4 linked regions of the Saccharomyces cerevisiae S288C genome follow. The gene in region 3 interacts genetically with the main gene of each other region. Each region holds a gene or a part of one and is shown on either strand. Other genes may lie near its edges.

Evidence for each region.
Region 1: mutations in PPT1 (region 3) and SRL4 together harm fitness more than expected from each alone (negative genetic interaction), as found in Saccharomyces cerevisiae (one large-scale study listed by BioGRID).
Region 2: mutations in PPT1 (region 3) and YPL034W together harm fitness more than expected from each alone (negative genetic interaction), as found in Saccharomyces cerevisiae (one large-scale study listed by BioGRID).
Region 4: mutations in PPT1 (region 3) and PHR1 together harm fitness more than expected from each alone (negative genetic interaction), as found in Saccharomyces cerevisiae (one large-scale study listed by BioGRID).

The regions. Positions count from the first base shown.
Region 1 is NC_001148.4:486,862-490,161, forward strand, and holds SRL4 (Srl4p), read right to left. Parts: upstream 1,347-3,300; coding exon 501-1,346; downstream 1-500. Other genes in the region: YPL034W (uncharacterized protein), read left to right, coding at 1-348; SVL3 (Svl3p), read right to left, coding at 2,026-3,300. UniProt on the Saccharomyces cerevisiae protein: May be involved in the regulation of dNTP production. Induces the SOS system when expressed in E.coli, therefore, it may play a role in DNA metabolism and/or in genome stability.
Region 2 is NC_001148.4:484,639-487,709, forward strand, and holds YPL034W (uncharacterized protein), read left to right. Parts: upstream 1-2,073; coding exon 2,074-2,571; downstream 2,572-3,071. Other genes in the region: H(+)-exporting P2-type ATPase PMA2, read left to right, coding at 1-1,048; SRL4 (Srl4p), read right to left, coding at 2,724-3,071.
Region 3 is NC_001139.9:736,109-739,998, reverse strand, and holds PPT1 (protein serine/threonine phosphatase), read left to right. Parts: upstream 1-1,795; coding exon 1,796-3,337; downstream 3,338-3,890. Other genes in the region: ASN2 (asparagine synthase (glutamine-hydrolyzing) 2), read right to left, coding at 1-55. UniProt on the Saccharomyces cerevisiae protein: Protein phosphatase that specifically binds to and dephosphorylates the molecular chaperone Hsp90 (HSC82 and HSP82). Dephosphorylation positively regulates the Hsp90 chaperone machinery.
Region 4 is NC_001147.6:1,064,902-1,069,053, forward strand, and holds PHR1 (deoxyribodipyrimidine photo-lyase PHR1), read left to right. Parts: upstream 1-1,937; coding exon 1,938-3,635; downstream 3,636-4,152. Other genes in the region: YOR385W (uncharacterized protein), read left to right, coding at 142-1,014. UniProt on the Saccharomyces cerevisiae protein: Involved in repair of UV radiation-induced DNA damage.

The sequences.
Region 1 (3,300 bases), on a different chromosome or scaffold from region 3:
TTGCCCATTTCATTATCAAGCTTACAAAAAAAAATGGAGAAACTTTTCATCAAAGATAAAAGTCACTCACACAAGCCTTCCCTTCCAGATCCTAAGGTGCCAACCCTACGCACTTATAAAGATGGTGGATTTTTCATTAGCGGAAAAGGTTCAATGAAACTACCAGATATCGAAAGCGCTATTCATAAATTTTTATGGAAGAAATACGGGAAAGGATTGGTTTACTGTTATGGGTGTGATCCAACTGGAAAAAAGAGGCATACAGAGTGGTTCAATGTGCCTGTATTGGAGCTACCATCAGTACTAAGACTTATTGATTCTTATTGCCTTGGAGGAGAATCTCGTTAGACTTAAAAAAAATTTTTTGGCCTATTCTGGCCGGTTTATTCAAATTATTTATCATCATAAAAATTGTAGTGTTACCTTTCTTTTCCTTGAATTATTTATAGAAATATATGTGCTTAGCAATTTTATCACTGTTACTTCGATTTGTAGTACCCTTAAGTAAAAGAGCTTTTGAAACCAGTTATCAAAAGAATATCACCAATTGATCTTTTGCTTTCGAGAATTGTATCACCATATCTTCCCTCAAGTAGACAGTGGACGAGATGTTTCGAGATACTCGGGGAAAGTCTCTTCCAATGTGCTTCACTTTCAAAACTGGGTAAATATGCAATCAGCGTTTTTACATTCAAATTACTATCTTTCAATTTAAGCTCTGAGGTTATTCCATCGTGGAAAGAGTTTATACCACATTTCGATGTAATAAAATGTGTTCCTGATTTGCACGGTTTTAACGTCAATACCGATGATATGTTGACAATATAGAACCCCTTTGCTTTTTCTTGAGCTTCAGCTTGAACCTTTGGAAAAATGTTACTCAAGCAGAACTTAGTTATCAATATTACACTTTGTAAATTATACCTCACGATTTTCTCGAATTCATTTAAAGACTCTTCATCAAGTCTCAAAAATTTGTCTTCTTTGAGAAGAGTCGATTCGATTCCCTCCTGCATGTTGTTAATGAGCACTGTAGGAATTATTTCTAAATTTTGAAGGTAAAGCATGGATTCCTCAAGACATTTTATGTCACTGAAATCTTTGCAAGAAATAAAAGTATACAGTTTTTCACTTCTCCTTGCGTTTTTTCCATTAATACTGTCTATAGTGTCAATATTTATAACCTTTGTATGATAATCTTCTATAAATGTCTCGCAGAGCTCGATGCCTAACTCATTTGAAGAACCGCCAATAATTAATACTGTATCGTGGCTAGGATGGAACTTTTTACCTAAACCGACATATTGATAAAAACTTACGAGGACTTTGTAAATTGTTTTCTTCATGTCAGATTTTTGGGCTCTATTACTAGTGGACCTGTGCTTCGGACATACGCAGTTTTTCTGTGGTTTCTTTATACGTCACAAATCTGTATTATTATTGAGTCACTAATTCAAATGCGTGTGACAATATAGCGACGGGGCCGTGCAAAAATAAGAGATACTGCACTTGCGCGGCTGATAGAGATTTCTTTCTTTCTACGCTGGGATAGTTTTCTTAGAAGGTTTTAGCTATTCTAATTAAAATGTTGTTCCCACCAGTATTTATTGGCACCTTGGACAATTTTAAAAATCACTGCTAAAACGGTGCTATGACACGATTTTCTGGTACTAAAACGTGTTTTATGAAATTAACAGTATATACAAAAAGTAAAAGGTATGGATAGTTAAATATGTGTAAAGCTATAATACAAAGAAATAACACAAGATAGTTGAGTTTATTTGGTCAAACTAAAAAGAGGAAATAATTATAGTGAATAATTCCAGATTTTGTTAAACACCAATTCAAACAAACTGAAAACAGGGAGAAACCAACCCAAAAAATAAAATAGATTCAGTGATAACCCAATTCTACCGCAAAAAAAAACTAAAAAAATAAATAATAGAAAATTAACAGATACAAAAACGAAAAAACAAACTGTTTACAAAACATTTACATGCGTGTTCATTAAGCTGTCGAAGGATATTATTTCTTTGATTTATTTTTTTTTTTGAATAGGCCAAATCTCTTCTTCTTACCACCATTTTTCTCCTCATTGTCACCATTATCGGTACTAGGCGAAGCCATATTCGCCATTTGACTTGATGAGGACAAGGTTGGAGTGCTTGGGGCTGAAACAGAGGTTGTAGGAGGGGGTGCAATATTTTTGGGATCGTTTATATCCACAGTGCTACTTGTATTGTTGTTTGTATTTGTAAATTGCATTGCGTTATGAACTACCGAGTTGGTGGAAATATCAGGGTTGCTACTACTGTTATTAACTTTGTTGTTATTATTTGTAACTTCTATCATGGTACTGGAGCTAAATTGCCTTTGTGTGGGAACGTGATTGTTTAAACTAGGAGCAGGGACTTGGTTAAAAGTATTGTTTGGGTTGGTGGCATGTGGCATATTCAGTTTGTTTTTCGATTGTTGTGATCTCAATCTATTCTGGTTTACGATGCTATGCGTTGGCATGGAATTTAAGCGAGTTTGACTTGAATTGTTCGGTGGTCTGCCAAAATCACTCATATTTATACTGGAAGGATTACCAATATTAGGCATATTACTATTTCTATTCTTCCTACTTGTGGGCTTGATAGAGTGTGAGTGAAAAGGTTGTACTTGTACCGATTGTTGTGGCTGCTGTAGGGGTAAGGAAGGAGGTTGTTGCGGGTCATATGCAGCGATACTTGAAGAAATTGGGTCTACAAAATTTCCGGCGGATGCAGGTTGAGACATAGCGCCATTGGTGCCATGCATTCCTCTGCTGTTAGAACGAACGTTTGCAGACTGCTGTAATTGAGGGAAGGAAGGCTTTCTTGGAATTGAATTATTGCTATTATTAAATCTTTGTTGCTGTAATGCTCTTTTCTGGAACTCCAGTTCACGTTCTTGTAGCTCTAATTCCTTTTTACGGAGTTGCAATTCGCGTTCTTGTAGTAATTTGTCATTCGTGCCATTATTCTCTCCGAAAGTTTGTGAATGTGAGGATAATGGTGAGTTCATTTGTGGCTGAGAGCTTACAACAGGTGGTGGAGATCTCACTGGAGAGTCTCCGTAGTTTACACTATATAGTGCCATATCTTCGATGTCCCTCAAATTCGGAGTTCCTGTTGCTTTATATTCATTTGTATCGGATTGGTTTGTTGCTTCAGTTGGCGTTAGTGCTTCAATTGATGTTTGAGCTTGAGATTGGGCTTGAGCTTGGGCTTGGGCCTGGGCTTTTAGAGCGACTTGATGTTTCTCCTTTAACTCATT
Region 2 (3,071 bases), on a different chromosome or scaffold from region 3:
GCAATTAGGACTTGGTACAAACATTTATAACGCAGAAAGGTTAGGTCTGGGAGGTGGAGGTGATATGCCTGGTTCAGAGTTGGCTGATTTTGTTGAAAATGCCGATGGTTTCGCAGAAGTTTTCCCACAGCATAAATACAGAGTCGTTGAAATCTTGCAAAACAGAGGTTACTTGGTTGCTATGACTGGTGATGGTGTTAACGATGCCCCATCTTTGAAGAAGGCTGATACTGGTATTGCTGTCGAAGGTGCTACCGATGCTGCCAGATCAGCCGCTGATATTGTTTTCTTGGCCCCTGGTCTCTCTGCTATTATTGATGCCTTAAAGACTTCTAGACAGATTTTCCACAGAATGTACTCCTATGTTGTTTATCGTATTGCCCTATCCTTACATTTGGAGATTTTCCTGGGTTTATGGATTGCTATTTTAAACAACTCTTTGGATATCAATTTGATCGTTTTTATTGCTATTTTCGCAGACGTTGCCACTTTAACTATTGCTTATGACAATGCTCCTTATGCTCCTGAACCTGTGAAATGGAACCTACCAAGATTATGGGGTATGTCTATTATTTTGGGCATAGTTTTAGCTATAGGTTCTTGGATTACTTTAACCACCATGTTCTTGCCTAATGGTGGTATTATCCAAAATTTTGGTGCCATGAATGGTGTCATGTTCCTGCAGATTTCACTAACTGAAAATTGGTTAATTTTTGTCACTAGAGCTGCTGGCCCATTCTGGTCTTCCATTCCATCGTGGCAGTTAGCCGGTGCCGTTTTCGCCGTTGATATTATTGCTACCATGTTTACCTTATTTGGCTGGTGGTCTGAAAACTGGACTGATATTGTGTCAGTCGTTCGTGTCTGGATTTGGTCCATTGGTATTTTTTGTGTATTGGGAGGATTTTACTATATTATGTCCACGTCTCAAGCCTTTGATAGGTTGATGAATGGTAAGTCATTAAAGGAAAAGAAGTCTACAAGAAGTGTCGAAGATTTCATGGCTGCTATGCAAAGAGTTTCTACTCAACACGAAAAAAGCAGTTAGTAATTTTAAACATCATCCATCTGATTTTTTTTCTTATTGATCTCCTTTTTGTTATTCCTCATTTTCATTTCAATTTGTCGATACCAAGGAAGCCAAGACGTTATAAAAGAACACGGTCAACAAAAATCAAATTAATGCCTCTTCAATTGTGCTCTGTTTGATACCTTCGATATGATGTTACAGTTTTAAAGTTTACACACAAGTTTTTAGACTAAGTGGCATCATATCTGTCAATTTTATCACACACACACACACACACACACACAAACAAACATATCCACATATCAGAAGTAGGCCGATCTTTTGCTTGATTGGATGCAAATTCATATGGAAAATTTTTTTCATATTATTTCGTGTTCTTTTGACTATTTTCCTCTCCAAAAAGGAAGAATCATTCCAATAACAACACACGAATTCCCATCCAACATGGTGAAATGACTAAATATTTTTTTTTTCGAAACATTAAATCAATCTAATTCTTAATTTTTAATAAACATATAATGCACACTTATTTACATACAAGCACATTGCACGTATTATATCAGTTTCTTCTTTTATGTTGATATATTTTTCTAATAATGTTATTATCATGTAGTCGTGTATGTGCGCCTCTCCCGCGAGAAGTCCAACACCATAAGAAATCAAATGTCAAGAGAAATAAAGAATTGTTTCCCATCATAGATAAGACTATATCAGAAAAGTGCTCATCAAAGCTAAATCTATTATGAGATGTCTTAGGCATAACAAAAAAGGGAGAGCGGTGCAAGATAAACATACCGTCGGATAAAAAGTACTGTCATTATCATCAGTGGCAAGATGCAAGGTACACACGGGCACCAAGAGATAATGCGCAAAATAAACCGGGTTTTATTTACATCTATACATACAGTAACCTCTTTGAATCATACATATCTGAAAAGACGGTAGATTTAAAATGGCTATTTATTGATGAGTCAATAGTTCGGACTAATGGTAAAAAGAAGAGACAATGGGTAGACAGAGACTTTATTCTATGTAAGATAGGAATGACCACTCGAAAAACAGTAGATTCAAGACTTTTAGAATGGCAAACCACATGCAAGCATCCAGTGATAAACTTGACTCCAGAGAAAGTCGATAAATTATACCACTTGAAATTGAAAAGTGAAAGCAAAAATATCAGTTCAAACAGGCTATTGCCCATTTCATTATCAAGCTTACAAAAAAAAATGGAGAAACTTTTCATCAAAGATAAAAGTCACTCACACAAGCCTTCCCTTCCAGATCCTAAGGTGCCAACCCTACGCACTTATAAAGATGGTGGATTTTTCATTAGCGGAAAAGGTTCAATGAAACTACCAGATATCGAAAGCGCTATTCATAAATTTTTATGGAAGAAATACGGGAAAGGATTGGTTTACTGTTATGGGTGTGATCCAACTGGAAAAAAGAGGCATACAGAGTGGTTCAATGTGCCTGTATTGGAGCTACCATCAGTACTAAGACTTATTGATTCTTATTGCCTTGGAGGAGAATCTCGTTAGACTTAAAAAAAATTTTTTGGCCTATTCTGGCCGGTTTATTCAAATTATTTATCATCATAAAAATTGTAGTGTTACCTTTCTTTTCCTTGAATTATTTATAGAAATATATGTGCTTAGCAATTTTATCACTGTTACTTCGATTTGTAGTACCCTTAAGTAAAAGAGCTTTTGAAACCAGTTATCAAAAGAATATCACCAATTGATCTTTTGCTTTCGAGAATTGTATCACCATATCTTCCCTCAAGTAGACAGTGGACGAGATGTTTCGAGATACTCGGGGAAAGTCTCTTCCAATGTGCTTCACTTTCAAAACTGGGTAAATATGCAATCAGCGTTTTTACATTCAAATTACTATCTTTCAATTTAAGCTCTGAGGTTATTCCATCGTGGAAAGAGTTTATACCACATTTCGATGTAATAAAATGTGTTCCTGATTTGCACGGTTTTAACGTCAATACCGATGATATGTTGACAATATAGAACCCCTTTGCTTTTTCTTG
Region 3 (3,890 bases):
TTGGTTTGAAGTTGTGAATATCTTCATGCTTGAAGGCTGCAAAGATACCACACATATTGTATTGTAGTGAGTATTTGTGTTTTGGTGAGCTTAACTGGGAAGCAAAAAAAATAGTATAAAAGTTAAATTAGAATAAATGAAACTAAGCAAGTGGCAAATCTTTGAAATATGCGATTCAAAGTCATAATTTTTTCAAGAAGAGAGGCTGGATGAGGCTTTACTGATTTTCTGGAGAAATCTTGCCATGAGTCAATGCTAAGAAAATTTGCAAAAACCCGCGCCGTGCGGCACCCATATGTGAATAAAGCTTTACTAGTAGATAGAAAATGTAGACCATTCCTGCAGGGTCCATACTACGGACGTATGGCTTTGTGAATCGTTTCACAAAGCCAAAAGAATGAACCCAATACGCAAGGTCCAGTTATGCAGAGAGCAGCAGGATAGCGGCTGTTGCACGCAACGAGACTGTTCTCTCATGTTTTCCACGATTTGATATATCCCCCTCTTAGTAAATACAGAGCCGTTCGAACGGTTTCTTTAGTAAAATCCAGGCTCCACCTTGATGGGAGGCATGATGAGTTCCAATTAGGAATGAGCAGGAGCTCACTTTAATCTTGTTATCGCAATGTGGAGTTAGCCTTAAGAACGTGTCCAAACCTCTTATGTATTGTTTTGTTCGTAATTTGATCGCTTTGTACGTGCAAATCGCTCTCTGCCCACAGCAGGAAGGACCACATAAGTGAATAAGTAAGTGGTGGTTCTATGATTTATCGGGATCTTATATTTGCATTCTAAAAAGTAAATGGTCTCTAGCGGGATCGAACCGCTGATCCCCGCGTTATTAGCACGGTGCCTTAACCAACTGGGCCAAGAGACCTATTTTTTTCGGAAGTCACTGATTAATAGTTTGATAATACAGGTGTAAAGAGTAGTATTTTCATGTGTCGCATTGTGTATGACAACATATGTGCGTTCGAAATAGATATAAGGCTTCTAATTTTCAAAGAAGGCGGTATCGTTAAGTATATGCATATGTTACGGTTTCACCTTGAGGATTAGAACTCTAAAAAAGGAAATAAGAGTGCTACAAAAAATGACGATTACTTCTTTTTTCGTTCTATGATATCGCCGCTCATTGTTCTATTACATCACCAATCCTTGAAATTTCAGCTTCATTGAATTGATGATGCTTTTAATAGAAACCATTTATGTCATATTTTGAGAGCCATACATGATAATATTCTGGTAATATAATCATAAGTTATTGGTTGTAGTTGGCGTAATATTCCAGGATTACGAATATGTATTTTATTTTACGCCCGCCATGTTGTATTTTTTTATCATAAAATTTTACACCATGACAAATCTAATACCACTGATGCAGTGTACTGTTTATACTTAAGAAATAGGTAAATTTTGAGATAATTGTTGGGGTTCCACAATACTGTCTGTCATCTTCTGTTATTCTGAGTATTTTTTTTCCTTTTAGCAGTTTCTTGTTCGTACCTTGGCCACTGAAAATTCTGGCTGAGACAATTATCAGGAACACTTCTAGTCCTCAAAAGTTCCTTCTCATTTTCTTCTTTATGAAAATATTTTTTCAATCATTGTATGTATGTATTTCTTTTTCCGTTAAAACGCTAAACCAGGGAAAAAAACGACGGCGGGAAACTGAAAAATTTCACAGATGAGGTAAGAAAATTGGCGAAAACAGCTTATAGAGCTTGACACAGAACTTTAACAATTTTAGAGGCAAGAAATAACGCTTGCCTTGGTATAATCAAATATCTCGAATATGTCAACACCCACAGCAGCAGATCGCGCGAAGGCACTTGAAAGAAAGAACGAAGGAAATGTTTTTGTGAAGGAAAAACATTTTTTAAAGGCCATTGAAAAATATACAGAGGCGATCGATTTAGATTCTACACAGTCTATCTATTTTTCGAACAGAGCATTTGCTCACTTTAAGGTAGATAACTTTCAAAGCGCTTTAAATGACTGTGATGAAGCCATTAAACTGGATCCCAAAAATATCAAAGCTTATCATAGACGTGCATTATCCTGCATGGCTCTGCTAGAATTTAAAAAGGCTAGGAAAGATTTGAATGTGCTTCTAAAGGCGAAGCCCAATGATCCGGCTGCTACTAAGGCGTTACTTACATGTGATAGGTTCATTAGAGAAGAAAGATTTAGGAAAGCTATCGGAGGCGCAGAAAATGAAGCCAAGATCAGTTTGTGTCAGACTTTGAACTTGAGTTCATTTGATGCTAATGCAGATTTAGCCAATTATGAAGGTCCAAAGTTAGAATTTGAACAGCTGTATGACGATAAGAATGCCTTTAAAGGTGCAAAGATCAAGAACATGTCTCAAGAGTTTATTTCCAAAATGGTTAACGATCTTTTCCTAAAGGGAAAATATTTACCAAAAAAGTACGTTGCAGCTATTATCTCTCATGCTGATACCTTATTTCGTCAAGAGCCATCTATGGTAGAACTAGAAAATAACTCTACTCCTGATGTTAAGATATCAGTATGTGGTGATACGCATGGCCAATTTTATGATGTTTTGAATTTATTTCGCAAGTTTGGTAAAGTAGGTCCTAAGCACACTTATCTATTCAATGGTGATTTTGTCGACCGTGGTTCTTGGTCGTGTGAAGTTGCACTATTATTCTACTGTTTGAAAATATTACATCCAAATAATTTCTTTTTGAACAGAGGTAATCATGAGAGTGATAATATGAACAAAATCTATGGGTTTGAAGATGAGTGTAAATACAAATATTCACAAAGGATATTTAACATGTTTGCACAAAGTTTTGAGAGCCTTCCATTGGCTACCTTAATTAATAATGATTACCTTGTAATGCATGGTGGTTTACCAAGTGATCCTTCAGCAACTTTGTCTGATTTCAAGAATATTGATAGATTTGCCCAACCACCTAGAGATGGCGCCTTTATGGAACTTCTATGGGCGGACCCACAAGAAGCCAACGGGATGGGTCCTTCTCAGCGTGGTTTAGGACATGCTTTTGGACCCGACATTACAGATAGATTTCTAAGAAACAACAAATTGCGCAAGATTTTTAGATCTCACGAGTTAAGAATGGGTGGTGTGCAATTCGAGCAGAAGGGTAAATTAATGACAGTTTTCAGTGCTCCAAACTATTGTGATAGCCAAGGTAATCTTGGGGGTGTTATTCATGTTGTACCAGGCCATGGTATTTTACAGGCTGGCAGGAATGACGACCAAAATCTAATAATTGAGACATTCGAAGCTGTTGAGCACCCAGATATAAAACCAATGGCCTATTCTAATGGTGGTTTTGGTTTATAGTCATGCCTTTTCTATTTTGCTAGATTATTATCAAAAGCAGAAAGTCTGGGAATAAAAGAAACTAATATGAGCTAACGAAGTGGAGGAAGTAACTTTTTTTTTTTTTTTATAAATTTATACATCTTTCACAAAAAATTTCATAATGTTTATTGTCATGTATCATATCATAATACCTCTTAGAAAAATAAGAAATATCTTCGTTGTTGAACAACATTATTCCCTTCAGCCAGGAAATTATTTAAAAAAACAACACTCACGATGGGGGTCGAACCCATAATCTTCTGATTAGAAGTCAGACGCGTTGCCATTACGCCACGCGAGCTATTGAAATTACACTTGTGTTGAATTACGGGCTCGAGTAATACCGGAGTGTCTTGACAATCCTAATATAAACAGTCTTAGGGAAGTAACCAGTTGTCAAAACAGTTTATCAGATTAATTCACGGAATGTTACTTATCTTATATATTATATAAAATATGAATCATACTAAGTGGTGGAAGCGCGGAATCTCGGATCTAAACTAATTGTTCAGGCATTTATACTTTTGGGTAG
Region 4 (4,152 bases), on a different chromosome or scaffold from region 3:
GTAAGCCTCTTAATTTTTCAAAGGCATTGTACATAGAAACAGCGAAAAAACTGTAGCAGCCACTTTCACTGAGCTACTGTATATAAGGCGGGCAGTAGAAACCAAGACATAATAATTCAAAGAAGAAACAACCAATTAACAATGCGTGGTTTCAGTGGTCAACCATTGAGTGATGATGATAATTATAGAATTGAAAAGACTCAAAGGAACACAATTCCTGAACGTCTCCATTTTAGCAGAGAGAGAAATATGCCCATTGCAAGTATATTCGGGACTAGAGGATATTTTGTATTCTCAAGTGAGCAATCCTATGACAAATTCAAACAGACAAACTTTAATATCAGTACTCTAGATGCGGATGGTGTAGGTGTTCCTCTTTTTCATATTGTCCAAAGTTATAACGTTATTGGCAAAATTACTCGGAGCTCGCCGGATTTCTATATCTACAAGTACGTTTTACAAGGGGTGCAAGATCCGCCTTTATACTCTGATTGTAAAGTTATTTGTCAAGATAAAGTTTTTCGTTTATGCAAAATTTTATATTGTGAAATTTATGCTCATCAAGGATTTTTTGAAACTAAATACGATTTCTTCTATCCTTCTAAAACGCAGCCGGTCAAAAAATACCAAATAATCAAACAAAGTAATATGCGAGATCTATATTCCACTTTGGACGGTATGCGTTTTCGTTGGCATGTGAAATTCTACAGCGATCATTTTCGATTGATGTTCCTAGATGAGGACAGGCTCAATTACTCAAATAGTAACCAAAAGGAAAGGCAAAAACCAGATCAAGGAAAAAGTAAGGCTCCAGATTTCGTAATTGGCCATTATACAAGAACTTTTTCCGATATACTCCCTAGATCCACGTCAAAATGCTCCAATCTTATTATTGGAGAACACTCAAAGCCAGACTCTCTTGGTATCACGACCGTTCCTGATTTGACTCAGGAATTTGCCTGTCAGGGAGCTTTAATCCATTATCTGCTGCATATAGAACGAGAAAGAAAATAAAAAAAGAAACAGAAACAGAAATAGAAAATGGTGAAGTAGGATACAATCTAGTGGCTTATTACTCAAGGATTTTTTCGCAATCCGTCCAATCCGAAAAATATAACTTGACGTGTAACACCCAGAGGAACGTTATACAGGCAACTGAGGTCGAATGAAACGAGATTACTCTTTAGGTTCAATTGAGCAGGCATTTATCCGAGACATTACGACCTAGCCAAATGAGATACATACATATTAGCTAGAACTTCGCATCACATATTTTTTCAATTTTTTTTCAATACGCAATTATTGCCCATAATTAATCTGAGGTTTTCATACTTATTGGCAATAGTAAGATCAAGGTAACGTTGTTTTTGGTTTGACTTTATACAGGATTTATTCCTACGTAGTCAAGATTATGGTATATTTTGTGTGCATTTTAACACCGGCGCTAGTACCAACATCTTTTTACTGATTGTATTCATAGAGTATCCTTTTAATATTACTTAGCAAGTATTTTGTAACAAATCCAAGCATAATATAACAAGCTCCGTCAATTGAACCCACCTTTTTAACAATATGAGAAGATACAGCTGTTTTTTCTCGAAATTGTTATCTAGAAGTTTATGCAAAATCAAAACTCTATCCAGAATCATCATCGGAGCTTTTTGAAATCCATAAATCTTTCTATCCAATAAGCATATTAAAGAAGTTATTGATATGAAGATGACGCTTCATAATGCTAGCTACAACAATTACGTTTGATGACTGCGTATTCAATTATTTTTATCCCGAACTACATATCTCGCTTTTACTGGCGCCACTTTTCTTCCTCGTTTTTCGAGGAAGCAGTCAAATTAAACCTTAAGGGGTGAAAGTATGCTTACTTTGACACTTATTCCTCTTTACAATTCGTTTCACAGAACAGACAACCAGCACTGATAATGAAAAGAACGGTAATATCTTCCTCGAACGCATATGCTAGTAAGAGATCTCGGCTGGATATAGAACATGATTTTGAACAATACCACTCGTTGAACAAAAAATATTATCCAAGGCCAATTACTAGGACAGGCGCAAATCAATTCAATAATAAGTCTCGGGCTAAACCAATGGAGATTGTGGAAAAACTGCAAAAGAAGCAAAAAACGTCGTTTGAGAATGTTAGCACTGTCATGCACTGGTTTCGAAATGATCTACGTTTATATGATAATGTGGGACTGTACAAAAGTGTTGCGCTCTTCCAGCAATTGAGGCAAAAAAACGCAAAAGCCAAATTATATGCTGTTTATGTCATCAATGAAGATGATTGGAGAGCCCATATGGATAGCGGATGGAAATTGATGTTTATAATGGGGGCGTTAAAAAATTTGCAGCAGTCCTTAGCCGAATTACACATACCTCTTCTTCTGTGGGAATTCCACACTCCAAAAAGTACCTTATCTAATTCAAAAGAGTTCGTGGAGTTTTTCAAAGAAAAATGTATGAATGTAAGTTCAGGAACAGGTACGATAATCACTGCTAATATAGAATACCAAACAGATGAACTGTACCGTGATATTAGGCTGTTAGAAAATGAAGACCATAGATTGCAATTGAAATACTACCACGACTCTTGCATTGTTGCTCCTGGATTGATCACTACTGACAGAGGCACCAACTATTCTGTGTTTACTCCATGGTACAAAAAATGGGTGCTATATGTAAATAATTACAAAAAGAGTACCTCTGAAATTTGTCATTTGCATATAATCGAACCATTAAAGTACAACGAAACTTTTGAACTGAAGCCATTCCAATATTCATTACCGGATGAATTCCTTCAATATATACCTAAATCAAAATGGTGCTTGCCAGACGTTTCTGAAGAAGCAGCTTTATCCAGATTAAAAGATTTCCTCGGTACAAAAAGTTCTAAGTACAACAATGAAAAAGACATGCTATATTTGGGTGGAACCTCTGGGCTAAGTGTATATATAACTACTGGTAGGATAAGCACAAGACTTATAGTCAACCAGGCATTTCAATCATGCAACGGACAAATAATGTCAAAAGCACTGAAAGATAATTCGTCCACCCAAAATTTCATCAAAGAAGTTGCATGGAGAGATTTTTACAGACATTGTATGTGCAACTGGCCATATACCTCAATGGGAATGCCTTATCGATTGGACACTTTAGATATAAAATGGGAGAATAACCCTGTAGCATTTGAAAAGTGGTGTACTGGTAATACAGGCATTCCCATAGTCGATGCCATAATGAGAAAATTACTGTACACAGGCTATATTAATAACAGATCTAGAATGATCACAGCTTCTTTTCTTTCTAAAAACTTATTAATAGATTGGAGATGGGGGGAACGCTGGTTTATGAAACACTTGATAGACGGTGATTCGTCTTCAAATGTTGGTGGCTGGGGTTTTTGTTCTAGTACAGGAATTGATGCCCAACCATATTTTAGAGTTTTTAATATGGATATACAAGCAAAAAAATATGACCCACAAATGATATTCGTCAAACAATGGGTTCCCGAATTGATTTCTTCCGAAAATAAGCGTCCAGAAAACTATCCAAAACCTTTAGTTGATTTAAAGCATAGTAGGGAGCGTGCTTTGAAAGTTTATAAAGACGCAATGTGAGAATAACGTCTCCTGATTAAGCAGGTGTGCTTTAGTAGTTTTGCCGCTTTGCTTGATCACTGTTAGTATTTCGGCAAATTATATGGTATTGGTCGCCTTGCCAGGTTCTTTAGGAAGTTCATCATAAACTAACGCTTTCAAGAATTTACGGAAATGATAGGGTTTATAGTTTTTATAACAGTAGTGGACCTAGAAAACACCGATAGCTGGCGGCGGTTATATCTCATTACTACTATGAAAACTGTGGCTCCTGAGTAGCTACTGAAGGATGTGCCCATCTTAATCCAGACCTAGTCAATACAATCAATACAACTGTCTAGCTGAAAACTGACAAAAAAGTTTGTCGATGTCTCTAGTATATTCACTATAACACTAAATTTTATTGTAAATTATTACACAAGTTTTCAAGAAGAAAAACAATATTAAACACAATAACTAGATTATGCGAGGCACGGCAAAAGGAGTGAAGAGGGCAAAATACGGAGAAGACAATATAGAATAAATTTCTTTTTTTGAT